Linked DNA regions of Oryzias latipes. The main gene of each other region encodes a partner of the protein of the gene in region 5 in a complex. Links are inferred from orthologs where the notes say so. Each region holds a gene or a part of one and is shown on either strand. Other genes may lie near its edges.

What was found.
Region 1: vamp7 (region 5) and bet1l share a complex: the UniProt entries of both Homo sapiens proteins name them as parts of the SNARE complex. The link is inferred for Oryzias latipes from reciprocal best matches to the Homo sapiens genes VAMP7 and BET1L.
Region 2: vamp7 (region 5) and vti1b share a complex: the UniProt entries of both Homo sapiens proteins name them as parts of the SNARE complex. The link is inferred for Oryzias latipes from reciprocal best matches to the Homo sapiens genes VAMP7 and VTI1B.
Region 3: vamp7 (region 5) and stx7 share a complex: the UniProt entries of both Homo sapiens proteins name them as parts of the SNARE complex. The link is inferred for Oryzias latipes from reciprocal best matches to the Homo sapiens genes VAMP7 and STX7.
Region 4: vamp7 (region 5) and syntaxin-4 share a complex: the UniProt entries of both Homo sapiens proteins name them as parts of the SNARE complex. The link is inferred for Oryzias latipes from reciprocal best matches to the Homo sapiens genes VAMP7 and STX4.

The regions. Positions count from the first base shown.
Region 1 is NC_019864.2:3,545,907-3,552,888, reverse strand, and holds the start of bet1l (BET1-like protein), read right to left. Parts: upstream 4,119-6,982; 5' UTR 4,048-4,118; coding exon 4,029-4,047; intron 1,599-4,028; coding exon 1,513-1,598; intron 634-1,512; coding exon 577-633; intron 1-576. UniProt on the Homo sapiens protein: Vesicle SNARE required for targeting and fusion of retrograde transport vesicles with the Golgi complex. Required for the integrity of the Golgi complex.
Region 2 is NC_019880.2:1,878,341-1,883,271, forward strand, and holds the end of vti1b (vesicle transport through interaction with t-SNAREs homolog 1B), read left to right. Parts: intron 1-76; exon of another isoform or gene 77-99; coding exon of another isoform or gene 100-139; coding exon 140-198; intron 199-956; coding exon 957-1,154; intron 1,155-1,228; coding exon 1,229-1,402; intron 1,403-1,984; coding exon 1,985-2,046; intron 2,047-2,572; coding exon 2,573-2,666; 3' UTR 2,667-3,321; downstream 3,322-4,931. Other genes in the region: arg2 (arginase-2, mitochondrial), read right to left, coding at 4,591-4,781, 4,860-4,931. UniProt on the Homo sapiens protein: V-SNARE that mediates vesicle transport pathways through interactions with t-SNAREs on the target membrane. These interactions are proposed to mediate aspects of the specificity of vesicle trafficking and to promote fusion of the lipid bilayers.
Region 3 is NC_019882.2:21,986,070-21,993,020, reverse strand, and holds the start of stx7 (syntaxin-7), read right to left. Parts: upstream 4,369-6,951; 5' UTR 4,354-4,368; coding exon 4,209-4,353; intron 3,150-4,208; coding exon 3,057-3,149; intron 2,955-3,056; coding exon 2,885-2,954; intron 2,366-2,884; coding exon 2,275-2,365; intron 2,188-2,274; coding exon 2,050-2,187; intron 1,447-2,049; coding exon 1,406-1,446; intron 1,324-1,405; coding exon 1,230-1,323; intron 1,161-1,229; coding exon 1,088-1,160; intron 722-1,087; coding exon 639-721; intron 542-638; coding exon 446-541; 3' UTR 1-445. UniProt on the Homo sapiens protein: May be involved in protein trafficking from the plasma membrane to the early endosome (EE) as well as in homotypic fusion of endocytic organelles. Mediates the endocytic trafficking from early endosomes to late endosomes and lysosomes.
Region 4 is NC_019877.2:19,249,867-19,256,823, forward strand, and holds the end of syntaxin-4, read right to left. Parts: intron 6,811-6,957; coding exon 6,711-6,810; intron 5,822-6,710; coding exon 5,747-5,821; intron 5,676-5,746; coding exon 5,605-5,675; intron 5,481-5,604; coding exon 5,372-5,480; intron 5,262-5,371; coding exon 5,188-5,261; intron 4,920-5,187; coding exon 4,782-4,919; intron 4,704-4,781; coding exon 4,593-4,703; intron 3,081-4,592; coding exon 3,003-3,080; 3' UTR 2,112-3,002; downstream 1-2,111. Other genes in the region: helicase SRCAP, read left to right, coding at 1-592. UniProt on the Homo sapiens protein: Plasma membrane t-SNARE that mediates docking of transport vesicles. Necessary for the translocation of SLC2A4 from intracellular vesicles to the plasma membrane.
Region 5 is NC_019868.2:26,863,141-26,867,099, forward strand, and holds the start of vamp7 (vesicle-associated membrane protein 7), read right to left. Parts: upstream 2,801-3,959; 5' UTR 2,581-2,800; intron 2,186-2,580; 5' UTR 2,151-2,185; coding exon 2,005-2,150; intron 1,898-2,004; coding exon 1,840-1,897; intron 1,715-1,839; coding exon 1,577-1,714; intron 1-1,576. Other genes in the region: DNA-directed RNA polymerases I and III subunit RPAC2, read left to right, coding at 3,264-3,302. UniProt on the Homo sapiens protein: Involved in the targeting and/or fusion of transport vesicles to their target membrane during transport of proteins from the early endosome to the lysosome. Required for heterotypic fusion of late endosomes with lysosomes and homotypic lysosomal fusion.

The DNA.
Region 1 (6,982 bases), on a different chromosome or scaffold from region 5:
CGTCTCGTTGATTTTCTTAATGCAATTTCACATGGTTTTTATTTTGTTTTTTTTATTTCAGTGTTCTGTGTCCTGATTGGCTGTAGATCTAGTCAATGTATCTCATTTGTAGCGTGTCTCCTGTTCAGAATGTATTATGTTTGCCAAATCAAGATAAATCTTTGATCACAATCAGATCTTTGTTTTCCTTCTATAATCCTGGATTATTTTTCTCGGAAGGTTTGAACTTTAAAAGTTTAAACAAAAGAGAAAAGTGTGAAAATGTTCATGTCTCTCTGAAAAGAGTGTAGAAAGTGTGTAGTGAGGAGTTTTACAGCCTTAAAACATCTGTATTCCTACTTTGCAGATGTGACCTATCCCGGGTTATTTTTAGAACACAACACTTGTAATAAACCAAGTAAACTGCAAATTCTAAATAAAAACTGGGATGTATAGCAACAATTGTCTGTTTTGAAACAGCTTCGATCATTTTAAGAAAAAAACAGTTTTCAGATAAAAACAGCTAAAAAAAAAACTCCACCTAACATCTTTGTACAGATGGATGAGATTTAAAAAGAGGATTTCCCGATTACTTACCATGCCGTCCAGGTAGTCGTTCTGATCATCAACCTCTCTGTCGATGTCATACGCCAGCTGTCAGACATGCAGGAGAAAATATAACTGCAGTCATAAGATGACAGATATGTGGCAGACTTAGCAGTTTGGAGGCCCCAGGTGAACAATAACGTGGGGCCCTATGCAGCGGTTGTATTCATTTTTTTTATTTAACCCGGGACAGAAGAAAAGGACTTTGATGGATTTTTGGATGCTGATTGATGACTGAAAAAACAAAAAATAAATCACAACCAACTCAGTTTTGCTCCCGCTGCCTTTTTTTTAAAACACACACTAGCAAGCATGTTGTACCGGTGTTTTAACGTGCCCACGCCCTAACCCCCGGAGCGCCTTTTGTGTGTCAAATACAGGAAAAATCCCCCATAACTGAAACTGCGCCCTATAACCTAGTGGTAGTCTTTGAAACATTGACTGTAGTCATTAAAGCATAAAGTCTGCACCTGCCATTTAGATGTTCCACACTCACACATTCATAAGCTTCATTAAGTTATGCACTTTTGACATAGCCTGACAACAGAACCTGCAGGAAGCTACAGATGTGACAGAGACGTTATCAGCCATGGCGGAACAAAGAATGGACACGTCTGACTGATTAAATATACGATTAAGCCTCTAAAACTGATTGTTTGAGAAGCGTGACCTGTCCAACTTTTTCCAAAATGAGAATGCCGCAAAAAAGTTGGGGCAATTGGATGAAATTCAACACGAGAAAATGTTGTGGGATTTGGTTAAACTGCCGTGAATTGGTGCAATGGCAACATTGCGAAATCCTGTAAGGTCTGACAGAAGCATAAATGTATAAACGTATTCGTCTCTCTGCTTCCATTCAAGCTACAAATAGAGAAATAAAAGTACATCATCTTCAGGAATCTGCAGAAATGTTCTAGTTTGACTCACAGATTTCAGTCTGGAGACTTTGGTGGCCAGGTTCTCAGCCAAACGTTTGTTTTTAGCATCCAGCATGTCATCCACTGAGTCATGATCTGAAAACATACAAGATGAATTAAAAGTGATTTGTTTTAGCCAAAGGTTTTACATTTAATCAGACATACACATTAAAAACTTTTGTCAATAAAGCCCAATTTAAAAGAAGCTACACGTGAATGGGTTTAAAACAGACCTCAAGTTTTGCTTTCATTCTAGCTGCACTTTTGAATGCTATGTTAAGATCTTTGATCACAGATTTACTGATGAGACTGTAGGAAGTACCATGACCTGGAGGAAACCAAAGAAAAGGTGATAGTTCACTCATGAGATATCGGCCTGCTGCTCCATCATCACTGAACACCCAAGCCAGGAATATTTAGGGGGGAATATAACTAACACCTTCATAAAAACTGGACTGAAGTGTGCCTGCAGAAAGGCTGTACTGACTGTACTGACTGTACCTGCAGTACTGCCGAGGAGCCTGTGTACTTTCAGGGAGGAGTCACTTCCGAGGACCTTTTTACTCTCTGTAATGGTACCAGCAGCCAGAAATGGTCTTTTTATTTATGATGATGATGATGATGTTTTTAGCCCAAATCTAAATAACTGTGTTGTTTTCTAGGACATAGTTCCTGCAGAGCGGTAGGAGTTCATCAGAACTTCACCTCTGAGTTGTGGGCAGAACTGTTGGTGCAGAGAAAGCCCGTCCTCATTTCCTATGATCCCTGTGATTACATTCTCTACTGCTAGCGTACAGCCGCTCAGAACCCCAAACTAATATTAGCAGTGCAACAAAAATGGTGAGCAATATCAGAGCTATCTGGTGTAGGTACCGTAACCGTTCGCCTGCAATAACCGTTCGGGGGCCTTTCGACTGAGGATACGGTAAATTACATTACACTTAAAAAATTTACTTGGCATGTATATATATTGCTAATACACATTAAGATTATAGTTAGAAAGCATAATTGGTTAAATATAAATGATAAAATATACATTTCTTGAGAGCACTAAAATTTGAATTTCTTTTTCTTTTCTCAAGGTTAGAAAGAATGTGACAGACTGTGCATTGACAGAGGATGACATTTCAAGCGCTGAAGAGATGGTTAAAGCACTTAAACCAATGCTTGTGGAAAAGAATCCAACCATTTCAATGATTGCTCCTCTTCATGCCAAACTGCTGTACAACTCAACTAGCACTGAAGAAGATTCTCCTCTGGTTCGAGAGATCAAGACCTTTCAAAGAGATATCAGTCTGAGGTGGAAAAAGATCTCCTACGCATGTCCTCAGCCCTAGACCCTAGATTTAAATCTCTTTTGTTTCTGCAAGACACGTCTGCAAAACTGAAGTCAAAAGCAGCTTTAAAGGAAGGGGATCCAGTGTCTTGTGATGACCTACAGGAGGATTTGGAGGATGAGGAGCCGCCACATTCCAGCAGCGACACCAGCACCACCAAGAAAAGAAAGTCTGCACGAGTAGATCTTCTGGGTCAAACCTTCAAGAAGACCTCTTATGCCTCTACAGCAGCAGCCTCGCAGAAAAAGAGGTCAAACAATATCAAGACGCCTCTTCTCTGCCTCTCACTGAAGATCCACTGCTGTGGTGGAAATCTCAACAGCATGTGTTCCCTCTGCTCTCCAAACTGGCCCATATGCATCTGTGGATTCCAGGGACTAGTGTGGTAGCGGTTATGGTACCTACACCACCTACAGCTTAGATCCAGAGTCCAGCTCAGAGAAGGAAAACAAAGACAGAAGATGGATCCATTTGACTGACAGGGGATGAATCAGAATGGAGCGGAGCAGGAAGCTTGTGGCTCGCCGATTGTAGCTCCTACGTCACAACTACAAGTTTTTTCAAACTGCAATTTTCCGTCTGTTCCAGATTAACAATAGTTTGAATAAAGAAACTCAGAAATGCAATTTTAAGCTTACTTACTTTTCTCCATAATGAGAAACAATGGCACAAGAACAAGTTAAAAACACAATTTTCATGGGAGTGGGTCTTTAAATACTGAGCAGAAACTCGAATGAGAACCAGAACCACAGAATTTCAGGTTAAACCAAAGTTACCGACGGACATGAGAGATTGTAATGTCATTTCCGACCATAGTATTACTAATTACACGGATTCCGAAAAAAAGGAAATTTGTTTATCTAAATAGGAACCAAAAGATGAAAAAATAGAGTGAAACTTGAACATTTATTTGAAAAAAAATCCCTCAGAACTTAAGGTGGTTTTATGTAAATAAACGAATTTGTTGACAGCTCAAAGTTAGTTCACTTCATGATAGCTACACTGACTTGTCAACAGCTAACTAAACTACTGTTAGCTCAGAGTCAGACGCTCCACATTTCCGGTCGTAATCTAATCCGACTTTATTTCGCTTTAAATACTCCCTCCGATCTACGGGACTCGTCTTATCCTGATTAAAACACCGAAGATGAACAAATATTAAAAAGTGAATACGTGTTCGGTTTCCTACCTCTGTCCCAGCTCGCCATCTTGCTTTGTGACGTCACAGTCAGCTGCCCGGAACACGTGACTACGACACGTTATCAGTTCTGATCCTGAAGGAAACGGAACAGGTTGAAATGAAAGTTTAATCCAGAACCGCATAATTTATTAATGTTCTCTGCTTTCATCGGGATGAAAAACACAATTTATATAATTTCTTAAGATTCATTTTTTGTTTCTTTCTTACGCTCTATAGAACAATTCAAAGTTCCTTTAGTAAAAATTACTTGAAGTTTTTGTTACTTGAGTATGAGTATTGCAAGTGTACTGTAGACCATGTACATGTAGTGTAAGAAGTATACTAACTGAGTCCTTCTGAAGAAATGTGAACATTTTAAGTCTACAATGCATGGATATAAAAGTTTAAAGTATACTGCCTACCTTTTAGTGTAGACTAAGTATACTTGTAGTACACTTAAATACACTACTTTTTGCGAAGAGTTTGCTCTGGTAAATAACTATTTTATTTTCTATTGCGAGAAGGTAACAAATTAAAACTATAGACTCTAAAGTGAATTTTAGTCAAATCTAGGTCACAAGGAAGGAATAGTTATTTTAAAAAAGAAGTATTTGATTAAAAAAAAGATTTCTAAACACATCACTCTTGAACTGTTTACGCTTAAGCTAAGGCCCTTGTTTCTATTGATTAAATCTGTTCTTTTTTTAATTTAATTTGCTATGTTTCGTTTTAAATTGACTGCATTCTTCAGTTCTTGAATAACATTTTTGTTTACAAATCACACTTTTGAAAAACAATGAGCAGAAATACCTCGTTCACACCTTTTTAATCAAGCTTGTGCTTTTTCCTAATTGAAGTGTTTTGTGTTGTTGTGTTTACAGTATTGACAAAATGTCTTGGGTCTGGATGACCCTTGTTTTCTGGAAACTGTTCTGCTCTGGAACTCTCCTGTATGAATGAGAGTCCTCACAGAAATCATGTGTCAGCGGCTCAGCCGTGCTGGTTGTGTTCTTTGGGTATTGGCTTCATTGACCCGGCAATCCTCTCTCCACATATAGGGAGGGGGATCCTTGAGATTTCTAGCATCATCTGAGCCTGGTGGTGTTTGTGTCCCTGGTTCTGGTTCTGGTCCGTGCATTCTTGCTATGTAACTCCTCATCATCATCAACACCAGAGAGCCTGGTCGGTCCATGCTAACCATTTTTCGCAGGGATCCTTGTCTCTCGCTGGAGCCCTCTTCCTGCCTGGATCTGTGCTGGACTCCCCACAGGGCAGGGAGGTAGTTGGCTAGGCTGTGACATGAGTGTTTCTTGGGGGATGCAGACGCCTGGGTGTTGGTGGACGCCTGATCTGCGGCTGTGGGAACTCTCAGGTGGGTGTGACCTTGCGCTGGACCTTGTGCTACCTCTGGACTGGGTGGCTGGTGCCGTTTGTCTAGGGGGGCAGACCCCTTCGATCTGCTTCTCTGTGTGGGTGTCTGGGGGGTCACGTCTGCCCCTGCTGCCTTGCCAGGGAGTTGGTGTCCGGGTGATCGATAATGTCTGAATGTGAGGTTGAAATAGAGCAAAAATCTGAGATACTTAAACAAGCAAAAGTGGCATTCCTTCATTCGTAGCATGTTTTTTTTCCTGGAAAATTAAAAAAATAAAAGTGATACATGAATGTTGGCTCAAGCTGAACAAACTGATATGTGATATGAACATATTAGGAATTGGCGTGGTTAACAAAAAAACCTCAGTTGCCAAGGAAAAAGTTTACCATTGCAGATTTTTATAAAGTGATGTAGATCTGTTCTTCACTCTCAGACAAACAAAAACTACAATGGTTCTTATGGAGACTACAGTAAACCCTTCTGTTTGGAAAAAAAATGTTTTTCTCATGAATTTGTCACATGTTGACCAGTCTGGCAGAGGAATGTGAAGGGCTCAAAGCATCTCCTAGGCCAGTGAGGGCAGGTAAAAAGGGGGTAGTAGGGGGTGTGAGGGTGGAGGCAGGTTACGCCTGCGCCCTCATCGGCCAGATTACTTGTGTTTTTCGGACTAAGCGTTAGACAGGTCTGTTTTTAACTAGCTTTGCAGTTTGTCTTAAGAGGAACTGTGAGGTTTGTAGCTTTGGTCTAATCATCTCTGCCCTGTGTTAACTGCACAGCATCATCGGCATACGTCACAATGTAAGGATGATGTGGGAGGTCAGTGATGTACAACCAGAACAGCAGGGGCCTGAGCTGGCATACCTTAAGACCTAATTTTATATTTTTCCAGTGGGAGACACAAGCTTTGATGCGCAGCAGCATGCATAGTGCCAAGAAGAGCAAATTACTCAAATTCAAATGATGATGTTGTGTGAGGCAAACCCAGGTGGGTAACACAAACTACTGGGCATCTGTCCCACACCCAGGTTTAATCCCTTTGGCAGCAGGCTTTGACACAGCGACTCTTCCTGCTTTTGGTGTGTTCAGAACATCATATTTATAGCGCTCACCTTTAAAAAGTGTGCAGAAAGGTCAGAGTTAGTCTTCTTTTGTGCAAACACACTCTGGTCCTGAATGTTAAAGAGTAACAGTCCTGTGTGTGTGCATGTTCAGTAATCCTCCTGTGTGCTGTAATCCACCTACCTGCGCTTGTGTTTGTGTGCGTCACGTGTTTGTGTGTTTTGTGGGTTGTGTCAGCTATGTGTGCACGCACAACAAAAGAAAACAACTTTGCCGTAAAGGCAGCCCTGATGCAAGGGTGTTTTCAGAGTTTTGTAAGTAAAGCTTGATTTGTATGTGATGCTGCTGGGATGAGGCAGAATATTTGAGGTGGCGTAAAGATGCAGCACCTGTCTTTATTGCGTCTTCCTCTCAGGTCTGCTCATCCTGACCACAGGAGCTTCAGTTGCTGCTGTTGGGTGTTGTGTGAGTATTCCCGTTCCACCTATGTGTGTGTCTCAGTAGGAGACGTGTGAGTGTTTCTCAGCAGGAG
Region 2 (4,931 bases), on a different chromosome or scaffold from region 5:
GATTTGAATAAAGAATTACTCAGAAAGGCAGTTATAAGCTACATGTTATACATGTCCCCCATCGTTTTCATGGCAGTGGGTGTTTGAAAGGATGGATGGATGGAAGGAGCCTCTGTAACCTGTGTGCTCTGGTCTGCAGAGGAGAGGAAGAGGCTGGTGAGGAGCTTCGATGAGCGGCAGGGAGAGGCTGAGGAGGTGGTAAGCAGATGTCCTCCTTCCTGACGGCTCACATTCATGGAGTCATTTTGCGGTTAAACACAACAGATGGCACATTCATTATTAAATATTAATTTTTAAAAAAGGCTTTGAAAAAATCAAACTGGGGTTTTTGGTGCTACAGTCAAGAACCAGCGAAGACTTGAAGTCAAAGTTCAAATATTTGGTTGCGTTTCACACACAAAAATAAGAATATTTGATCAAATTTTGTTCATCTCTTCCTGTTGGAGGGAAAACGAGCTTCTAGTTTCACATGAAGTCATTGTGCGTTTATCAGCTGATTAACCTTTAATTTCTTTTTTTCATACTGTTTTTACATTTATTTGAAATGAACAGTGTGATTATGGTTACATGGTTTGCATGCAGCTTTAAGTTTAGTTTTCTATTTTAAATTTCTTTTTGTTCTTTTCATTCATTTGAAATAAAAGAAAAAAATGTTTTATTGTTTTTTCCCCTCTTTTTTATTTTTATTTTTTACAGCAAACAATACCAAAAAAAAGAAAAGCAAAGAACAACAAAACAAACAAATACCCTGCAGATTTTACAATTAAATGTTCAAGTAGAGGTTGACTTGTCTATAGAAATAATCCATTAATGGTTGCCATGTCTCAGGTGTAATTTCTTTTTTAACTGAAGAGTTAATAATTCCATTTTTCTTGAACCTTGTCGGCGTTTCTATAGTCGTTTCAGACGCTAAAATCCATCTTTTTGATCAAATGGACTTGGATTTTCTCTCACAGTTGCAGGGCATGGAGGACGAGCTCCGTGCGGCGCCGGCGTCCTACAGAAACGCCATGAGCACCAAGCTGCGTCTGTACCGCAGAGACATCGGCAAACTGCAGAGGGACATGAAAACCTTTGCTCCCGGCTTCGGCCCCGCCCCCCTGACGTCTCACGGCGACCGCCAGGGCCTCTATTCACCCGAGAACCAGCAGAGTGTGAGTGTGGACCTTCACGCCTCACAGGTGTTCTGGAAACCTCCTGACTTCCTGTTTGTCCCTGGGGGGTGCAGACACACCTGCAGTCGCAGAGGTCGCTGCTGCTTCAGGGGACGGACTACCTGAACAACGCCACGCAGAGCATCGAGCGCAGCCAGCGCATCGCCGTGGAGACGGAGCAGATCGGTACAGACATCATCGAAGAGCTGGGGGGGCAGAGGGAGCAGCTGGACCGAACCAGAGACAGAGTGAGGCCGCCGCCTCCTCCTCCTTTCCTCCTCCTCCTTTCCTCCTCCTCCTTTCCTTCTCCTCCTTTCCTTCTCCTCCTCCTCTTTGTCCTCCTGCTCCTTTCCTCCTCCTCCTTTCCTTCTCCTCCTCCTCTTTGTCCTCCTCTTCTTCCTCCTCCTCGTGTTCCTCCTCCTCCTTTCCTCCTCCTCCTCCTTTCCTCCTTCTCCTTCTCTTCCTCTTCCTCCTCCTCTTCCTCTTCCTCCTCCTCCTCCTCCTCCTCCTCCTCCTTTCCTCCTCCTCCTTTCCTTCTCCTCCTTTCCTTCTCCTCCTCCTCTTTGTCCTCCTCCTCCTCGTGTTCCTCCTCCTCCTTTCCTCCTCCTCCTCCTTTCCTCCTCCTCCTCCTTTCCTCCTTCTCCTCCTCCTTCTCTTCTTCCTCCTCCTCGTGTTCCTCCTCCTCCTTTCCTCCTCCTCCTCCTTTCCTCCTTCTCCTTCTCTTCCTCCTCCTCTTCCTCTTCCTCTTCCTCTTCCTCCTCCTCCTCCTCCTCCTCCTCCTCCTCCTTTCCTTCTCCCGCGTCACTCGTTTCGTTTCTTCCTCTGTTCAGTTGGTGAACACGGGAGAGAACCTGAGTCGAAGTAGGAAAGTTCTGCGGGCCATGTCTCGGCGGTAAGCTCACCCACCACTCGGGTTGATTCAAAGGGTCACGTGTCAGTCAAAAGGGCCACGCCCCCTTTGTGCCCAGCATTTATGTACAGTACTTTAAAAAAACATAAAAGCACATAAACATGAACACAGTCAAGAGTTGGAGAACAGGAAGAAGAACAGGCTTTGGATCCAGACTATAAAAAGTCTCCCTCAGACAGCCCTCAGGTGTGGAAGCACACCTGAACGTCTGAGAACGAGGGCGTGTTCACTCTCAGCGGAGCGAGGACAATCGTTTTATTGAAGCAGAGTATTATGGGTAAAGCAAGAACTGCTCATAACACAAGAAGGTCACGCGTGGTAGAGTGTCCGCCCCGGGAATGTCAACAGCTGTAGAAGTTTATGGGATTTTGGCGTCTTAGAGGCCGCGGGCACTTCCTGTTTGGAACGCCAGGGAGGAGGAGTCACTTAGACCAGTTCGCATATACAATAATCAAATAAACGCTTAAATCCACCGATGATGAGGAGGGTCTTCCTCTCTGTCCTGCAGGCTCATGACAAACAAGCTGCTCCTGGCTGTCATCATTCTAATGGAGCTCGCCATCCTGGGCGCCGTGATCTACCTGAAGTTCTTCCGGAAGTGAGGGAGCGTCTGGAGAGGAGGAGCTTCTGCCCTGTAGCAATAATCCTGTTGGTGTGAGCGAGTCCGCTCTGAGACCAGGCCCTTCCTGAAGACGTCTGACTAGAGAAGCACCTCCTTTGACCTCACAGAAGCTCCTCAGAGGGACGTTTGCTCTTGCCAGGGGTTTTCTGAAGGTCACGGGGTCAAAGGTTTCGAGGTCAAGAAATTTCTCTGTTTGGCTTTGAAGGCCTGAGATGAAGCCAGAACGCTCACAGTAGTAGAAATAACCCTGAGAAGTATTTCTGACCTCTTACACATGTGGCCAAATTTTCTTTTGCTCTAAATGTAAAACGAGGACCTAATCTATACGGTATGCCATTTCCTTTACCTACACATAAATAACACCACTTCCTGTTCAGTGCTTAGTTGGCTCCATTAAAGCTAACCTGCTACTCATCTGTTTGGTGTTATATCTAAAGAACGTTGCTGTGGAAAAACCAGAATATTCCTCCTCAAAAGATGTGGAAAAATCAACTGTTGCAGTTCCTCAATTGACCACTAGAGGCTGTTCCCCAAAGGAAGATATTTCCAATTTAGATGGCCTATATCCTGCTTTTCTGAAGCTTTTCTGTGTAAACTACATCCATGTGACAATAAATGACCTTTGGCACACTAAAGAACACGTATTTTAATGAAATATTCATTCTACCTGGAAATAAGACTCGATCTTGGAGGCTCCGCCTTTCGCTCCGTGTGGGTGGCGCTCAGGTTTTTAGAAGAATACTCAGAAATGCGTGAAAGGATCAAAATAACCGCTTTGGGGTTTTCTGTGAGGAAAAACATCGTAAAACACTTAAAAGTGGATTTTACAGGATAAAGGCCCTTTAAAAAGACTAACTTTACAACCATTATTTCTGCCTTTTATCATTAAGATGCACTGCAGGAGTTAGGAAATGAATGTAGAACACGTTATTTCTCGTCACTTTTGGCCTCTTGGAGCATCTCATTGAAAAACCAACATCTTGCTGTCAAAGCCCTGAATGAGCAGATTCCATCTCTTCTCTCCGTTTTTTATGTGTTCTTTTTCCAGCAGGCCCTTGTCCTCCTGACTGACGCTGGTCATTCCTTCCCGCTGTCGCCTTCTGCATTTTCAGCTGGAAGTTTGGTTTTTTAAAAGGATCATTTCCTCCTTAATCTTTTCTCTAGGCCGCTTTAGCTGGAACAGATTCAGTTGAAGCAACATTTTTTTGTTTGCTGCGTAATCTTCTGAATTTATTGATGCTCAAAATGTTTGCTTATCATAGATATTAACTTATTTTCTCATAGTAAATGATGCTAAAGTGCTTCTAAACTGATCCTTAGCTGGATTTTAAGGAAGTATGTGGACCATTCCCATCAGTGACGATCCTCTGAGTCTCATTCTAGCAGCAAACTGAAAGGGAAAAAGAGAGACGAGTGCAAACAAACAAAAATGAAATCACATTTATGGAAGACCAAAGTAGAGGCTCTTTGTAACACGATTATCAGTCGCCATAAAACAGACAAACGAGCGTTAAAGCAGCACTATTCGTGACCAGATGATTTCTAAAGCGCCTTTTTTAGTAAATAAAACGTAACGAAAACCGTAACCACACATGGTCCAGAAGAGTGTTCTGAGAAACGGCGCTGCTATTAAAGTCCACTTTTCATCATATGAATCTTTTTGATGCCCTGCAGATCAGTCCCACACGTGACACACGCTTCGTAACACGCTAACAAATAAATAAGAATGGCCTCTTTTAGAGCAGCAGCGGCCTCAAAAGGTGCAGTGGTTTTTTAAATTATTCAGTCTCTCTTTGCAGCACAAACATCTCGTGGATTCATGGATTCACTGGACCTCCAGAACAACAGTGTAGACAGGAGAAGCGTGGAATGGTCAGGATTCGATCCAAGGTTCTGGGTTTGCTTCATAGGCAGAGCTGCTCCGTGTCGCTTTTCACGGCGGGGATCACGCTGATGGAGGCGTGAGCGCCCTCCCTCGTCTGTCCCAGCGACGACGCGATGACGTCCACGGCTAAAGAGGCGGTGGCTTCCACTGCCTCGCTGCTGGCGCCCAGGGTGGGGTTCACCTCCACCATGTCGATGGCCGACAGCAGACCTGCGCGTCCATGAGATGAAAGGTGAGGCGCCGGACAGAAAACAGAGGCACTGATGGGCGGAGCTCCAGGATCCGTACCTGTGTTGTGGATCTCCTCTGTGATGTAGATTCCTTCTCTGTAAGTGAGGCCTCCGTTCACCGGCGTTCCCG
Region 3 (6,951 bases), on a different chromosome or scaffold from region 5:
CTTCTTAAATCTGCAGGCTCTGATCCTTCAATCAAAGTATAAATTCATTGTTATCATGTTTCAGAGTGTAATTCAAAGTTGCTCAAACGTGCTGGATTTACAGTGACACTGAACTATGACCCTCACTCCTGTTTATTTGCAGACTGGCTGCCGCTGAGTCAGCATTTCTGTGCTGATAACAGCAGGCGGCTGCAGCTGGAAGCTCCTTCAGATTCAGAGTTTCCCCGCTGCTTCACAGTTCAACTCTGCCATCCTGACAAAGCCTTTACACTTAAGACAAACCATGAGTCAGCATTATTTCTGCACGAGTTTGGCAGCACAGTGTGTCCGGTCCTGTCAGCACGGAGCATTATTTCTCAAAAACACAATTTAATCAAAGACTCAGGACAGGTCAGAGAAGAGAACTTCTGCTCAGTGCAGAACAATGAGTCAGCAGAAGAGGCTGTCACTGTTTGGTTGCTCCCCAGATGATGAGTCCTATCACAACAGCGGCGATGGCCAGAACCACCAGCAGGATGCAGATCTTCTTCCTGGAGCTCCGCTGTAGACAGAGGAAGAAAGCGTCATGAAAAACGCTGAACGTGAGGAGTCTCCTTTCCTTTTCTGTGCGGTCCGCTGCACAGAAGCTCCGCCTTTACCTGGTAGTCTGCGGCCCGGGCCAGCTGCTGCGTGGCATTCTGGACGTGCACGTCTGCACTCTCCACATTGGCTTCTATACTGTCTGTAAAACAAACAAAGCAGAGGTTCATTTTCTTCTGTAAAGCAAGACTTCAGCAGAAGTTGGACTGGACAACAAACCAGCTTTTCTGTTGTCTCAATCGATGTGTGTGTGATTCTTTAAAATGGGTAGACTTTATCATCTCCATGCTTTCCCACCAGCAGCTGATCTGACCTGTGTGGCCGCTGTGAGCTGTGCATTTATAACATTTGGAGGATCAGGAGAAAGTCTTTCTCCCTGACAACGAGGTGGAAACATGGCTGCAATTAACAAAACTGCAATGAGCAAAGCCCAGCGCGCTCCTCTGGACGGAGGGGGAGATGTGCCTCGATGCAGCTGCATGTGGAACTGAAGGTAGCTGGCGCTCACCTATCATGTCCCCCTGCTCGTGCACCATCATGCCAAGGTCCTTAAAGATGTCATTGATGTCTGTGATGTCCGCCTAGAGAGCACAGAGAGATGAGCAGGAGCTTTAGAATGACCCTCACCACAAACACAGGGGGCTGCTGACCTCCAGCTGCCTGATGGATGACTCTCGCTCCTGGATCAGCCTCAGGTCTTCTTCTGTGATGGCTTCAGCCTCCGTCTGGACCTGGGAGTAACTGCAGATACAAGCACACCACATGGCTTCAATAGTGCAGCCACGACAGAGGCGAGGAGAAGAACCTTCATAGACAGCCAGCTCACCTTGGAGGAAGATGTCCGAAGCCGTCATCAGGCTGACCTCCCTGCTCGAGACAATTTACAGGCAACTTAAAACATCTTCAGCTGTGGAGGACCTGAACCTCTAAGTCCAGCCGCGAAACTACTGAGAAGTTCCTGTTTCTGTGAGGACCGTATCCACAACAAGGACAATGCCTGTTCTTACTTTATGGAGATGTTTGAATGCCAGCAAGAACCACAACCATCAATGAATCAACATAAAGAGATCTGCCCCCCAACCAGCGGAAGGCTCATGCTGGGTCTGGAACAGGCTGGGACAGGTGCATCTGCTCACCTGACCATCTGAAACATTTCCTCACAGCGCTCACACTCACCCACTCCATCCTGAACACGCCTATAAACCCAGACACACTGTCACTGGAAGAAGCTTTTCTCATTTCCTCAGCTGGAGGGTTTCATCTGAATAACCTGTCTACGTCTGAACGTTCAGCCAAACTCTGAGCAGATGGTACATTATGGCCCAGAACAGCTGAAACCGGGAAACCATGGCAGTGTTGTTCAGAAAGAACCCGGATGGTCCTGGTTGTGGAACGTGTGAGTATGAGGTGAGCGTGCACGGAAAGCTCTCGCTCACAGCACTCCCAGAAATGACGAAGGCGAATACGAACCGACAGCCTGGAGCCAGCTCGGACTCGGGCCACGAACTCCCGCTCCTTGTCGGCGGCCTGCCGTTGGGTCTTCTGGAAACTGTTCAACGCAGCAGAGAAGTCATTGAGCAAACGCTCCTTCTGCAGCTTCCTCTGCCTCTGAAAACACAAACACAGCTGATCAATTCCCACAAACTCCTGACCGGGTTCGATGTGATCGGTGCGTGGGACGAAGGGGCCTCGTACCTGATCGGGACCGACGGGGAGGGCGGTGAAGGCCTTGATCAGCTGGTCGGTCTCCTTGGCCAGCTGGTTCCCCTGCTGCTGTTTCTGCTGACTGAGAACCAGAGGGAAGCATCTGTGAAACGTTTCACTCGAGGAAACAGAAATCTTACAAATCCATTACTCCTGACGTGGAAAATGCTCGGGTTTCAGGAGCTAGCTGAGTACAGAGTAAAAAAAAACTATTCTAAAGGTTGAAAACTACTTTTTGAACCTTAAACCCACTGAATGGAACTGTTTTAAAACAGGGACAAATGATCCCATTCAAGTAAAACACTGTTATAAGAATAGAACTTACTTTAGTAACAACCTGCATCTCCAATGTGTGTATATGAACATGTATGTGTTTAGAACATCTTTTTAAAGTTATCTTTCTGTTTTGATGAATGAATTAGATGCTAAAATAATAAAGACAGTCTGCTTCCTGCCATTCAGGAGTCTTTACAAATGAACTGACTGAAGGAACAAGGGAAACGTATGTGTGTGTGTGCATGGTGACCGTCCACAGACAGGCCGGCTGTCGGTTTGAACTCATTTGGCTGCATGTGTGATCAAGCAGGCGGTCAGAACTCACAGCGTCTGTCTGAGCTGGCTGCTGTCCTGCTCCGTCCCCAGCAGGGTCACGGCCCTCTGCAGCTCTGAGGCTGGAACACAGATCCATGAGTGAGGATGCTGGGGGTCCAGTGGGGTTCAGCATGTGCACAGGTCTGTGTGGGTGTGTGTGTGTGTGTGTGTGTGTGCATTACTCAGTAGTGTGATCCTCTGGATGTTGGAGCTGATGTTCTGAACCAAAGCGGCGGGCTCCCGTTGAATCCCAGCCTGGTAGGCCATGATGAGAGCTGAGTTCACACAGAAAGACACATTTATGTCTTGCTTTCATACAAACTGCATGTTTAACCTTTAAAGTCCCCCAACCATCATCTTATGATCTATTGTCAAAGTGTTCCCAGCGGTCTTTTCACTACGATTCTGCTGTTTTTAGACTAAATCAGAAAACGTTGTCGTTTTCTAGGACATAGTTTCTGCGGACTGGGAGTAATTCATTAGAAATTCCCCTCTAAGGTGTGGGCGGGACTGTTGGCGAAAAGCACAACACCCCCCCTTCCCGTCATCCATCTTTTTACAACTCTCCCCTGCTAGCTTACAGCCCCTCACAACCTCAAGCTAATATTAGTGATGCAACAAAAATGGTGATCAACATCAGATCTATCATCCGTCCAGTTCTGATCCAGATTCCAGGTCAGACCAGGAAGACAAAGACGTTCACGGATCTGTTTGTCTGACAGATCAGAATAGAGCAGAGCAGGGAGCTGGTGACCTGCTGATTGTAGTTTACGTAACAACTAAGAGGTTTTTCAAACAGCATTTTTTCTTCTGCTCCTGATTCACAACGATTTGAAGAAAGAAATACTCAGAAATGCAGTTTTAAGCTTGATTTTCTATATATATGTATGTCCTCCATCATTAGAAAATGCTACAAGAACATGTAAAAACACCACAAACACCATTTTCATTGGAGTAGGTTTTTAACTAGCAGGACGGGTGCTGGCAAAACCCAAACCCAAAACTGTTGTCAATCAGGAGCAGACAAAAAAAGACTGTGATGAAGACTAGTGATGTAGAAAATACTCTGGCCAGGCCAAAGTGTCCCTGCCCTGCTCCATTCTGATGCCCCCACCTGCAGACAAATAGATCCATGGACAGCTCCAATATTGAGCAGCATTCTTGTGGTGCCGCTAAAGCTATGGATGACGGGAAGTGAAGGTGGGCTTACTCTGTACCAACAGGATCAGGAGGGAAAACTACACCATCATCAGCGTTTGTCTGACATAAGCATCAACAGTCTGAGGTCAAACCAACGTTTTGATAACAAATGGAGATGATGGAAACTTCCTCACAGCTTTGAGTGATGGAGGCAGTGAAAACACAAAGAAGGAAAGTTGCTTTTCCTCTCAGAACAAATCCTGAAACTCTGAAACGCTGAAGGTCAGAACCAAAGAGCTGCTGCAGCAAACACCAGCCCAGCTGACCCCTGACCCCCATCCATGCTGGACCAACGTGGGCTCATGCCCAGTCTGCTCTGATCGGGGGCCAGTTGGGGGGGGGGGGGGGGGGCGTTGACGCGGGTCAGGCAGTTGCTCACGCGCGTTTCCGGGACCAGCGGCGCTCCAGCGTCTGCTATGATGACGCGTTTTTAGGACCCCGTCAAGACCCCCTCCGCCGTGCGTTACGGGGCAGCCTGCCGCCTGCAGCGGTCGGTCGGTGGGGCTGCAGTCTTTCCAGCAGCCGCAAATGCGGAAATCAGAGGACTTTCTCGGAACACCACGGTCTGTGTCCTTCCGTGACGGCTGCTCTCTCCCGGAGTTTCTGTTTATAAAACCCCGAACTTTAAGCGTCAACGTGACGTTTAGCTCATGAAACTACCGGTCTCTACACAACTGCCCCCCCACCCGCCCCCAGCCCGGTTCGGGACATCTCGCCGTTTGTCCTCAGAAAGTGAAGCGCTCCGAAACCCGCGGTAGGATTTTGGATCGAGACCAAAACCTGCTCTAGAACGGTTCGGTTCGTTTCTGGGATCGTTTGGACTTTACCTGCGCTGAGACTTGGAGCTGCGCCGTTTCCTGACTCGCAGCCACTCCCCGGTCACATGACGCGCACGGCCCGGCCCCGCTGGAGCCAAGAGCCGCAGGAGCCGCAGGGGCCAGGGGACACTCCCACCAAAGACTGGAGACAAGGCTTCAGGGTTCTGCTGCGCCCCGGTCCTTTAGGATGGAAACGAGTCAACTCCACAAAAACAAGTCATAACATTAACAATAAAGGACTAAAACATAGTTTCAGCGCGCTGGAGCAAAATGATGTTTATTCAAAAAATATGACAGAGTCTGAAGGCCACATATTTGAGAAGGAGGGGGGAAAGGAGACAGAGGTGGAGGTCTTCCTCATGTTAAGGTTTTCCTCATGTTGAGGTCTTCTTCAGGTGGAGGTCTTCCTCATGTTGAGGTTTTCCTCAGGTGGAGGTCTTCCTCAGGTGGAGGTCTTCCTCATGTTGAGGTTTTCCTCAGGTGGAGGTCTTCCTCAGGTGGAGGTCTTCTTCAGGAGGAGGTATCCCTCAGGTGGAGGTCTTCCTCATGTTGAGGTCTTCTTCAGGAGGAGGTCTTCCTCAGGTGGAGGTCTTCTTCAGGTGGAGGCCTTCCTCAGGTGGAGGTCTTCTTCAGGTGGAGGTCTTCCTCAGGTGGAGGTCCCCTGCAGTTCTCTCCCCTTTGGACCCTTCGTCTCCACTCAGTAGAGGAGTGGAAATCTGGATCACAGACATAGGAGGAAGCAGGACATGAACCTGAAGCGTCGTGGAAGCAGCAGCAGGTCTGTAGGAGGCAGCAGGTGTTTATCCACATATAGAATATATATCTTTGCACTATCTTTTTCCAAACTGGCAGATCAATGACATATTTGTATTCGTCAACAGCAACATGCAACTGTGTTGTATTACAGACTCATTCTTGCTCTGTAGCTGGAATATGTGGAAGGGCGCTCATGAGCTCCCTGTCCTGGCTGGGCTCCAGCCTCGCCCTGCTATTGACAGACACATTTGGCTGCGTAAGTGACCCCTGACCCCTGCAACCTCCTGCTTTGGCTGCTCATCTTCTGCTGCTGAACCTTCAGGGGTGTGAGATGATCCCAACACAACACTTCTGCTCATAGAGTGTAAAGTCACTGCTCGTTTGAGCTGAGATGTCAATCAAAGTATTTCAATGAAAACCAGGTTATAGCTTACAGCTTTCTCTTGTTTTAGCACCACCAGCAAAGGGGAGGAGGAGAGGACCTGGGGGGGGGGGGGGTCCACCTCGGATGAAAGAATTTGTCAAATGTACAAATAACTTTCTGAATGCGGCTCTGTTCAGAGAACACAGAATAATTGTTTTTAACTATATCAAACAGACTTCTTCTGTTTTATTCCCGCCTCACATGTTCAGTCTTTATTTGATCATTTAACTTATAAACTGGTCATTTCTTGTTTTATATTCAATAAATAATTAATGTTCAAAAGCTTTGCAAAGACTTTTTGACCCAGAAGTAAAATATTGTAAGGAACAGTTTCATTCTATGGAAAGTCATTTTTATTTATTGCGTATTTTGATCAGTTTTGGCTTCATTTGTGAAACGTCACACAACTAAAACACAAGTCCAGCAAGAAAACAAGCGTTACATTTTTGACAGGCCAGTGCCATACGGGCTGGACTATTTGAAGACAAGATAATACTTGATTCATCACAGGACATTTGTCATTTATTTTATCAACTGCTGCACTAATATCATGCTTTAAAAGTTATGACAAAAACTATATAAAAAAAAGAGAGAATCAAGCTCTTAAAGGTTGTGTGGGTGGCTCTCAAAAAAGGGGTCAGTGGGTCAGTCCTTGGTTGACATGCCAGCTGCCACGGCCCTCTGTAGAAAAGTGGGCCGTGAAGGTGTCTCTCACTCAGAGGAGTTGCTGCCGTCAACAGTCTAAAAACAATCTTCATAATTGCAGATTCCAATTTGTTGAGTGTGTGTGGCCTTGTGACAGACTGGCAGCCCATCCAGGGTGAACCCCACCTTCATCCAGCCGGTTTGGGGATAGGCTCCAGCAACTCGGCCACCCTG
Region 4 (6,957 bases), on a different chromosome or scaffold from region 5:
TAAAAGTGCTGGCAGCAAACCTTCAACACCTAATCAGACGAGCCGCCCTCCATCCCGCTCCACCAGACGCTGTCCTGGAGATCTGGTTCCCCCTCTAGAAATGGAGTACAAAAAGCCCAAAACGGAGGACAAGGACGGTGTCGGGAAGAAGGCTTCAAGACGAAAGGAAGGGGAGGGAGAGAGGCCGTCCTCGTCGCGAGGAAACAGCGCCTGCAGCAGCATCAGCAGCGACGGCGAGGGTGGCGGCCGCAGCAGCAGAAGCCGCAGCAGCAGCAACAGCAGCCAACGCACCCACAGCGTCAGCTCCCAGAACACTGAGCACAGGTCCTCGCGCTCCCGCGCCACCTCCTCTGGGAGCGACAGGGACCGCAGCTCTGAGCGGGCCAAGAGCAGGGACAGAAAGGAGAGACATGGTCAAAGAAGGGAGAGCAGGTCGCAGAAACTCCCTCCGGAGCTCACAAGCAGCTCAGGGACCGAGGGGACTCCGGACAGGGTGCTGCGGAGCGTTGCCGCCCTGGCAGCGGTGCAGGCGCGCTCACCAGCTGCAAGCACTCGCTCCTCCTCTGGTCAACAGCGCAGCAGCAAGACGTGAAGTGGGCAAAGGAAAACAAGACAAGAAAAAGAAGAGCGCACGCAAGAGTGTCGCAAAGCACGATAGGAGAGCATAACTCTGGTTGCTGCTTTGCCTCCACTCTCTGAGGAAACGATGGGAAGAAGTGCTGCATGGGCCAGGACCTCCTACCTCTTGGGCCTTCATCAGCTTTGAATGTTTGGGGGGGTGGAGGCTCAGGGATGCTGGACTGACAAGCAGTGTAGTGCAACCATGAACAGTTGTAGGTGGTGCAGTGGATGAATTCACCACCAGGCGCAAGAGGTAACAAGCGGGTTAATACATGTACTGTAATCATTAGACTGGAACTCTGTGTATTCAGACAGATTTATTCGATTCCCTCTATTGGAGTTCCAGCGACCAGCTGAATCGAGAGTCTGGAGGTTTTAGGACGGTTGATTTTTTGAGGATGGGTGAAAGGTTTGGTCAGCTGTTTCTTTGTAGTCAGTTGATAAGTTATGCATATTTTAATGTTTCTTTCCTGGTATTAGGAAGAGAAAAAACAGGCCTGTCAGTGTGGCTGTACTATGCTGGAGCTCGTCTTTGCTTGGGCCCCTTCATCAAGTCATTTGTGTTCTTTGAAAATCCAGCCTTGCATTTTTCATTTGCACACTCAAAAAAAAAAAAGAAGAAAAAAAATAGTAAAAATAAAGAAAAGGCCCTCAGCCTTTGAACACATTGTGGTGTAGTGACATGTTTGTACATCAACTAAAGTCAGTTAATTGGTTCCTGGTAACTCAGTGTATCTCAACTGTTTGGAAAATGTATTTTTTTGAATATCCTATCTTTACAACAAGTTATCGCTGCAATCCACTTCATGCATTTATTTTGAAAGGGCAAAAAGAAGTGCCTCTTCGGCCAAAATGGTTTTCAACCTTGAATTGCCTTGTGAAGCACACGGCACTGGGGTGACGAGTTCATTCAAAGAAACTCAAGCCCCCCCCACACCTCTTGAAAGCCCCCCCTAGCATCAGTGCTATCCTAATTGTCTGATTTTCCACCAAACAGTTTGCCATTCATCGCTCTTGGGTCATGTATAAAAGGAAAAGAAATCACATTACATGAATAAAATGTGAATAAATTTACTGGTGCAGTTCCAGATGACTGTAATTGTCGATTTAATTTTGAGCAAAGGTGATTATTACCTGGGGGGGTGGGGGGGGTGGGGGTAATGGGTAGTTCTGGTGATGGTCTTCTGATTTCTTTTGCCGCATTCCTTTGATCCCTTGTAATTCCACATTGTTTTACTTGAAAACTAAGACAATTACAGTTGAATAAAAAGACCAAAAATTAGTGACGGTTTGGTGTTAAAGGTTTGTCGCTGTATTTCTGGTACATGTGTGGTCAGAACGTTTAAAGGAAAAGACTTCAGTCTCACTTCCTGGAGACTTTTTCATGTCATGAAAGTAGATTTTTAAGCCCAGATGCCACGACTCAACTTCATGCATAAATTAAAACCGTTTAGATGTTTATAAAGAAAAAAAAGCTGACAATGACAAAGTAAAGGCAGAGTATTTTATTTAAAAAACCAAATATTACAATGCTTTAACAGCTGAACAGTGGGAAAGTTGTCTCCTTCAGCTAACCTGGAGCTAGATGTTGTCATTTTGTCTCTCAGCAGGTCGTCTGAGTGTCAGGAGGTCACAGAAACCCTCAGAAGGGTTTGGCAAAGAAAGCTGTGCCGAATCTTTATTAAGAGGCTACAACAGATCAAAAATCCATCCCTTCTTGACAGTGTTGGTGCTCAGCATCACATTCTTAAGTAGACAGCATGGAGAAGGCACAGTTCTGAAAAGTTAAGGCTTAGTTATGAAACAACTCATTTTAGTAGCAGCTTAGAATGTTTTAATAAATACAAACTGGGGTTGGCCTCGTTGGTGCTAAGGGATTTACTTTTCCCTATTTACACTTGGAAGTCCAAATGCTCAAGATAAAAAAAAATCTCTGTATGATCACAATCTGTTATTTACAATATTAGTCTGTTTTCCGTTTATAAAAACCTGTTAAACTGATTTTTACAGTTTCACAGTGGAAGCGTAACAAAAGTGAACAGATTTCCTGAGATCAATACTGCAACTGCATTTTTTAAGCTCACTTTCTGTCTTTCTGTGAAAAATGGGGGTTAAACAGAAGAAATCAGGAACGGTATGTTAGTTTTGCAGGAAGAGACTCCTTCCTTAAACAGAAATGAAAATGCAAACATAACTGAAAATCTGACCCAAAAAAAAAACGCTTCATTACAGAAAAATGACTTGGAAGGTGAGGAATAGAAAACAAAAATGTTCAGTGACTAAATTCACCTGTGTGGACTCCTCTTACACACAAAAAATGTATAGATAATTTATATTCTATGTATCCAACATGCTGCAGGCAGTGTCAGCGTCCGCTTTTACTATGTGAACGTGGACACGACGGCGATGACAATAATGAGGAGGAGGATGGCACAGCAGATTGCGATCCAAAGTTTTTTCTGCAGTAAAAAGAAGAAACGGTATCAAACAGGTTGGTATTACAAAAAAAAACAAAATCAGATATACACAAAATATTTGCATGAAATCAGGGATCAAAAATAAAAGCTAACCTTAAATAGTTGAAGCTCTTAAAAGAAGAACTATACACTTCTGGTAAATTTGCAATAGCATTTTTTAAATTAAATTAAGTATCTGAAGGACCACAAATTGAGCTAAATCTCTCCACAACATCCTACCAAAGTGGAATAAATGATTCACATAACAGCTGCTTTCAGAAACTGAGCTCTTCTGCAGCCGTCTGTGCAACTGAAAATGTAAAAAGACATTTTTATCCATCGCCTTTGAAGTTAATTCTCAATTTTTATAAACACCTGCAGAATGTAAAGCGTTTGGAGACGGAACCACTGATCTAATTAGCTGGTGATGACATCCCACCAAACTTTAAAACATGGCTTTTTGAATGTGAACTGTTATAACAGGGTTAAAAACTGTTGATCTGAAAATACGAGGACTTCTGATTAGTTCAGGTTTTAAACCAAATGAAGGCAGAAAAAACTGATAGAAACATTTTAAAACCTCTGCCACTCTCCCAAGTCCCCATGACTACATATTTATGCTTCAGTCTGACTAAAGATACTTTAGAATGTTTTGATTTTTGAATGAAAAAGGGACTACATTGATAAACTACTGCTGCTCTGCAGACCCCATGTCCTAGAAAATGACTTTTCTTTTAAATAATTTGGCTAAAAACAGCATAATCCTAATTAAAAGACTAAACGAATCAAAAGATGATTGGAGTGGGGGTTTAAATTTTAGGATGAGTCTGGAGACTCAGTGTTTTGGTTTGTCAAAAGCAAAGAATGAGACGTTTGATCCGCTCTCTAAAATTGAAACCTTTGCACACAATTGTGAAAGTGAGATTTAAAAAAAAAAAAAAGGAGAACTGCAAAGTTCTTTAAAAAAATAAAATTTCAAAAGCATTTCTATTTGTGTTTTCAACAAATCTAGCGAGGCCCAAACAGGATCTCTCCCAAATTGGATTCATACCAAATCTGACTCTATCACATGCTTTTTTACAAATAAAACTCATTTTATGGGGTGGACAGTCAGAAACTTTTGTGCATGAAGCACCGATCAGGTGTGTGCCGGTTAGGCTCTTTGAAGTGATGCTTTGTAGGGACTGATTGAGTGCAACAGGTGAGGCCAGACCATATGTCAAGTCATTTAGTGTACCTTCTCAACCATGCCAGGATAAAAAAATGAATATATTAGTTATCAAACTTTAGTCTAAGTTAAAGCAAAATTTGGGTCATAACTCATTTCTGTCACCAACTCTGTATTTTCAGTTTTTTTATACCTTTGATTAACCCAAAATGTCAAAGTTTTAAACAAATTAAGAAACTCTGTGAATGTCAGAATATCGAGGATTTATTTGTTTTGAAACAGGAAGTCAGAAAAATTCAGCTTCCTGTTTTGCACTGGGTTCAAAATGCTCCATGATTTACACCTACCTTGCGAGCTTTGTTCTGATATGTGACGGCCTGTTGCGTGTTTTTCGCTGCGCTCTCCACGTAGTCGGACGACTGCTTGATGTTCTCTTCGATTCTGTTGACCATCTCTCCCTGGAAGACACAAAAACGCCATGATGGAAACCTATATCGGATGGAACCAGCCTGAAGGTCTGTTGGTGTTTGTGATACCTGAGCCTCCACCTCCATGGCGAGGTACTGGAACATGTCGTGCAGGTCTCTGACGCTCCGCTCCAGCTTCAGGATCTCATCGTGCCGCGACTCGATCTCATTTAGGGCTTGTTTAGTAGCTTTTGCATCATTTAAAATCTGTGAGCCACAAAAAGGTCCAATAAGTAAAGGAAAGAACCCAACCGAGCTGGGTGTTTGGGCTAACATCCCTCTGAGGAAGGCTGCACTAAGCATGGGTCTTCACGCCTCAGCTACTGTGACACTAAAGTCTGTTTCTTACCAAATCTGCTGTCCAGTTAGAGCAATTCGAGAGGTGACAAGAGAGCAAACCTATCATGACATGTTTCTGAGTGATGGAAAACAGCTGCAGCGTTTCCATGACGACACCTCTCGCACATCTACTCACATTTTGAGTGAAAACATCCGTTTGGCCGTTTTGAAGCATCGTGTCCAGTTCCTCTTCTGTCACGTTTGTGCCGGCTGGAGACAGAACCAATCAAACAGTGAGTCACATGTTCACAAAAGCACAGGTGAGGAAATACTTCGACGTCCCTGAACACCAACAGACGGCCTGGGACAAGAAAGCTCACTTATTTTAAGCTGCCTCTGTATTCTCTCCACGTTGCGATCTCTGTACTTGGCCTGGATGGTGTTGCAGTGGCCCATTAGCTCCACAAACTCCTTGGAAAGTATGGCATGCTGGGAAAAACAGACCAATTTATTTCACACAAGCAGCAAGGAGGATGCAACAGTCTAAATTTCTGCATTTAAGCCTATTCTGTCAAATAGATAAAATTATTGTTTAAATATGTAAAGATGCTACCTGAGTGCGCTGCATCCGGACATTTATGGGAATATATTTGCCATCATCGTCCGACTTTTTGGATTCAATACCTCAGTTGAGACGAGAAGAAACTTAAGTGGTTTGAAGACAAAATTCTTGATTTGAACTCCCAAATACTCACTTTTCAGCTTCCTCTGGATCTGGCTCGCTAATATTTTGATCTCTTCTCGAAGAGTTTGAAGCTCTTTCTTCATACCTAACCCGAGAGGAAAACAGCATTCATGAGCACAGATCCTCAGTTTGAGAGTTTTCTGAGCAGCACGCCGTGGTCGAAATAAAACACACAACGTCAGAAATTGAATGCAACTGGAGTCTCAGGATGACATTTTTTTTGTAAGATGTGTGGAAATCTACGAAATACCACTAAAGTTAGCTGCATCAGTTCAACACATTTACCACAAAAAAAAAAGAAACAACAAAAAAGGAGAAGAGAAAGAAGAAGGGTGTGTTGAAAATGTCAAAATAATTGTCCTCTTTTTTATGATTTATTTTTGTCTTGATACTGTGAGTAAACGTTAGGATTTAAAGACAGAGAGAAGGGAGGAATTTATGTTTGTATTTCTTATTTCTTTCACAGCTCCAGCAGAGACATTTTGGACGGTACAAACAAGTTGTGGGCTCCTGCCATGTGTTTGGCCCAAAACAAACCAAAGTACAAGGAGATATTCATAAAAATGTTTTTAAAAAATTGTTTTTTATTATTATATTCCTTTCATTTTTGACCACCTTTGTGTGCTAAAGTATCTGCCACTGAGAAAAATCACTAAATCAGGAGTTGATTGATCAGCAGAGAAGCATCAGACACCCTCATGAAAGGAGCTCCCTTAATTGCATTTTGGAAGAAGACGACAAAGAAAAACATGTTCACTGCGATCCAATAGAGAAAACTAATCTGTAACATATTTGGTGCCCTCATTGAGCCTAAAAATCTGATTGGAAAGGCGCCCCCAACTAGCCCCGCCTTACTCTGGTGGGATCCCTGTGAAAAATCTGGAGAAACGTCGTTCTAATCCTAAAGTGCAACTACACTGATCCTCTGTTACAAAATGCAACACGAATTTATCAAATTCATAAAGTTGACGTACTCTCCTCTGGCAGCGCCACGCCCAGCACCGTCTTCTGTTTGTTCTCCAGCTCTGACACCATCCTCTTTAAGTTCTGCAACCCCTCGTGGATTTCTTGCACCTTAGAAAGAAGTTTGTAAAGTTTTAGGATTAACAGGCAAAATCATCTTCCCAGACAAACAGCTTTAACTGCAACTGTAACATCCTGACCTTTTTTGATCAGAAAACTTCAATTAATGGGTTGGGAAATGCAGTGTTTGTATAAAAA
Region 5 (3,959 bases):
CCTCATAAGATGTGTCTGAGATTATTCTCTGTAATATTTACAGAGATATTTTGCCACAAGCCACTTTGTAAAAAGATCTGTGGCTGTTAGAATGAACCTGCTGCTCCACACGAGTGAACCGTGTCTCTGAGCAGAGCAGCTGGAGTCTCGTAGCTTCGTGTTCGCAGGCTGGGAAGCTGCTTTGTTATAGTGTGCGGTCCGGAGAAGAGTTCAGAACGCAGTCTGTTCAGCTGCAATGCAGTTAATAATAATAATATTTAGGGCTACATGTCATGAGGAAAACTTAATATTGCGGTGACGATGTAACTTGGGGTGTAGGAAAACAACCAAAAACATCATTTCTATTTCACTGCAACAGTTTAAAAACTGCATTGCAAATGACCAACATCTACATAGGAGACGAACATCTAACACAAAAGGGCTCCATCCGATTGGTCAAAAACATAAAAGGGATTATTTTTGCTTCGTTAAATACTGCCATCAGATTGTTTTAGCATACTTAAGGTAACCATTTATTGCGATCTTCGCCGTCTTTTGCAATATGCATATTGCACAGCTTGATATTGCGATAACGATAAATTTGCGATATATTGTGCAGGCCTAATCATAATATTACCAAAAGCACGTTTAGAAGATAATCTTTCTCTGTGTCGGAGCTCTGTATGTTTACAACGGACCGCATAATATCTTCTTCTATGTTAGTATCGTAATTTATCCAGACCAATCACTATCTGATATTGCGATGACGATATAACTTGTGGTGTATGAACAAAGAGCAAAACAACCTAAAACATCATTTCTATTTCACTGCAACAGTTTAAAAACTGCACGTGATCGGACCAACAGACATCCAATCACATAATGTGACGTCAGCACTCTTCGAAGGACCCCGAACGGTTATTGCAGGCCGAATGGTTATGGTACCTACACCCCACAGGAACACTGAAAATCTGCACTCATTTTTCCTTTAAAAACAAAAAAAAACTTTTTACTCCTTCGACCATATCACTTCGATATTTGGTGGAAAATAAAGGACAATGTTTTTTTTAACACTAACACTGGAAAACCCTTGCTAATAATACATTAGAGGTTCAGATATTTGTCTGTCCTCAAATACCAAACATCCCTAAAACAGCACTTCCATGAAAATTCTTAATAAAGACAGATAATTGTATCTCTATGCTGCACAGGTCAGGAAAATGTTCAGATATAATTCAAATGATACAGATTCAAATGCAGCAGACAAAGGTTGACTTTAAAACGTACTTAAAATGCCAGAGTGGTCATGTGACCATCTGCTGATCTTTTTGTACATGCCACGATTGTAGAGAAGGAAGTTGAAACCCATTTGTCAATATGTTGACTATACAAAGCTGAAATTGACATGAAAAGGGTTTTTTTTAAAGAAAAAGGACGTTTTTAACTACTCTGGGGGAAAAACGAAACTAAAACCAAAAGAAATAGGAAAAAAAATAGAAGAAGTTTGCTTTTCTGGTTATGACTAAAGCAAAAGTCTTTTTCTTCTTCTAAAAAAAGTCATATGGCATTCTAAGGAAATCTGTCACGCTCAACCCACCATCTGAGCCGCCAGCGTTGAGGAGAATTCACTGTTCATGGCGTAGGGAAGGGCGGTTTGAGCTCTGGAGCCATACGTCGTCTGGAAGCGCTTCTTGACTTCGCCAAGAAAGGTAAATGCACGAGATCTTTCAAAGTCCTTTAACAGAAAACATTCAATCACGATAAATGCAACTACACGTATTTAAAGCTTTGTGCCAGTGTCACATCCTTCCCAACTATTGCTGAACATCAAAACAAAATAAAAAGTCCAAAGATACTCACATCATCAGTGATGCACAAGTATATGATTCTGTCATGGCAGATGTAATGAAAGAGGTAACTGAAAACAAAATAGAAACACCATCAGTTACACGTTCCCAGAAACTAGCCCTGATTGTGGGCAAAATAATGACAATTATTGAGATGAAGGAGCAAACTGGACCGTACCTGCCGTGGCTGTAGGTCAGTTTGTTATTCTCTGAGGGGATTTTGGCTAAAATTTGTTCTGTGACTTCCAGGAAGTTGCCCCCGCACCAAGCATGTTTGGCCAAAATCGTGGTTCCACGAGCCACCACAGCAAACAGGATTGCCATGGTAACACAGCTGGGTTCTCCGCTACGTTAGTTTTCTGTCAAATAAACAAGGAAAGGAATAAGCTTTTTGTTGTTGTTGTTTTTTGGTAGGTGGAGCTCAGGTAAAACAAAAATGCCCCCACCCGCCTTCCCTCCCTCCCACCGGAATTCCGTTAAGATGAGTTAGAAAGAAAAGGAAAAAAATTGTGTATTGTAGACAAAAAAATACTAAAAACGATTACACCCAACATCCCTATGCGTGTTATTGTGGTATAAATCATTGGGAAAAACAAAGACTGATTCGGCAGCAAGCTAGCGTAGTAAGTAATGTTGAAATAAACACGGAACAGTGGTGGCGTCAACGAAAAGACCAAAATGTTAATCAAAGTGTCAGTTCAAGTTTTTGTTTGTAAGTTAAACGTTGTTGCAAAAAAACAAAACAAAACGATACCTTAACGTGTCAGCGCCACTCAAACGAGCTAATTATTTTCCCACATTTATAATGTGTCAGCTGCTAGCAAGCTAGCTAATCCCTTTCGAGTGACTTCTGCTTTGCGGATCCTTTGGACCGGAAGCACACACTGACCAACGCTGGGTAATGTAGTTCTTTTTTGCAATTTCTTTCACAGTGAATGCTGCTCTTCTACCATTCTGAACTACACTTCCCTAAACTACAAATGACGATGTGTCTTCGTCATATGTTTTCATGCGTAAGAGCAACTGTTTAGGAATTCCCCTCAGTTTAGCCTTAAAGGCTACGATTACACGCTAAATTGAATGCATTTGCAAATTAAATGTTAAGGAATGTTACTTTTTAGCGCAGTGAAAGGTAGTACTTCATCACCAACCTAATTTAAGTTCGATCCGTTTATCTTTTCTTAATTGCATGTTTTGTATGTCTATGTTTAACAAAATTTATTTGTGTCATCACTTCAAATCGACATATCTCTTTATGGCAGACTAAATAAAACATTTATTCTTAGGGTTGTAGTCGGAATAAATGTCCAACCAAGCGGGTTCAGTTATTAATGAATAATAACAGCATGGCGACACTTTCATTTTCAGCCTGTAAGTCAAAAATAAAGGGGAAGAAACACAAAGCTCATACTTTGCAGTGCGAGCGACGTGAAAAGCATGGCCGGGGATGGCGAGAAGAAACCCAAACTGGAAATGGTAAAATAAGAAAATGTCGTTTTGTTTGATCAGTTATTTAGATACTTAACTGTATATTGGTTAAAGTTTGTGTAGGTGAAATATATAATAACACATCGAAGAAGCTAATGCTAGCTTTCTCCACCGCCCGGCTGCAGACTTCACGTGGAAGATGAAGTGTCTGTTCATAAGAAAATCCCTTTTACTCGTATATAAACATTTTTTGTTAATTTATATTACTTAAAAAGAAACCAAAATCATGTTTTATTTGATAAAACTGAGCTTATATTTTAGTGTGTTACTACATGTCATTGTTTACTTGGTCAAAATCCTGCGATGTCTTTTATCCCCACTAGGGGGCAGTATTTTAAAACAAGCAGTGTTTACTTAAGATTTGTGAACTAAAATGTACTTAAACGTTAAAAATATATATATTATAGTCCCACAAGTCCCTACTAAACAACTGATTTTTGTTTTTTGTAATTTATATTAAAATAAAAAAGTTAAACGTCCATAGTCTCAAAGATCACTAAAACAGAGAAACAATATTCATGGAGTACAAATTAATGTATGTAAACACTGTTGTAGGAGGAATATGGCTCTCAATTGTATTTTTTTCAGCAACAAACCCACTAAAATGTTTCAAGATTCACTTATAGTGGTCTACAGAAGGATGAT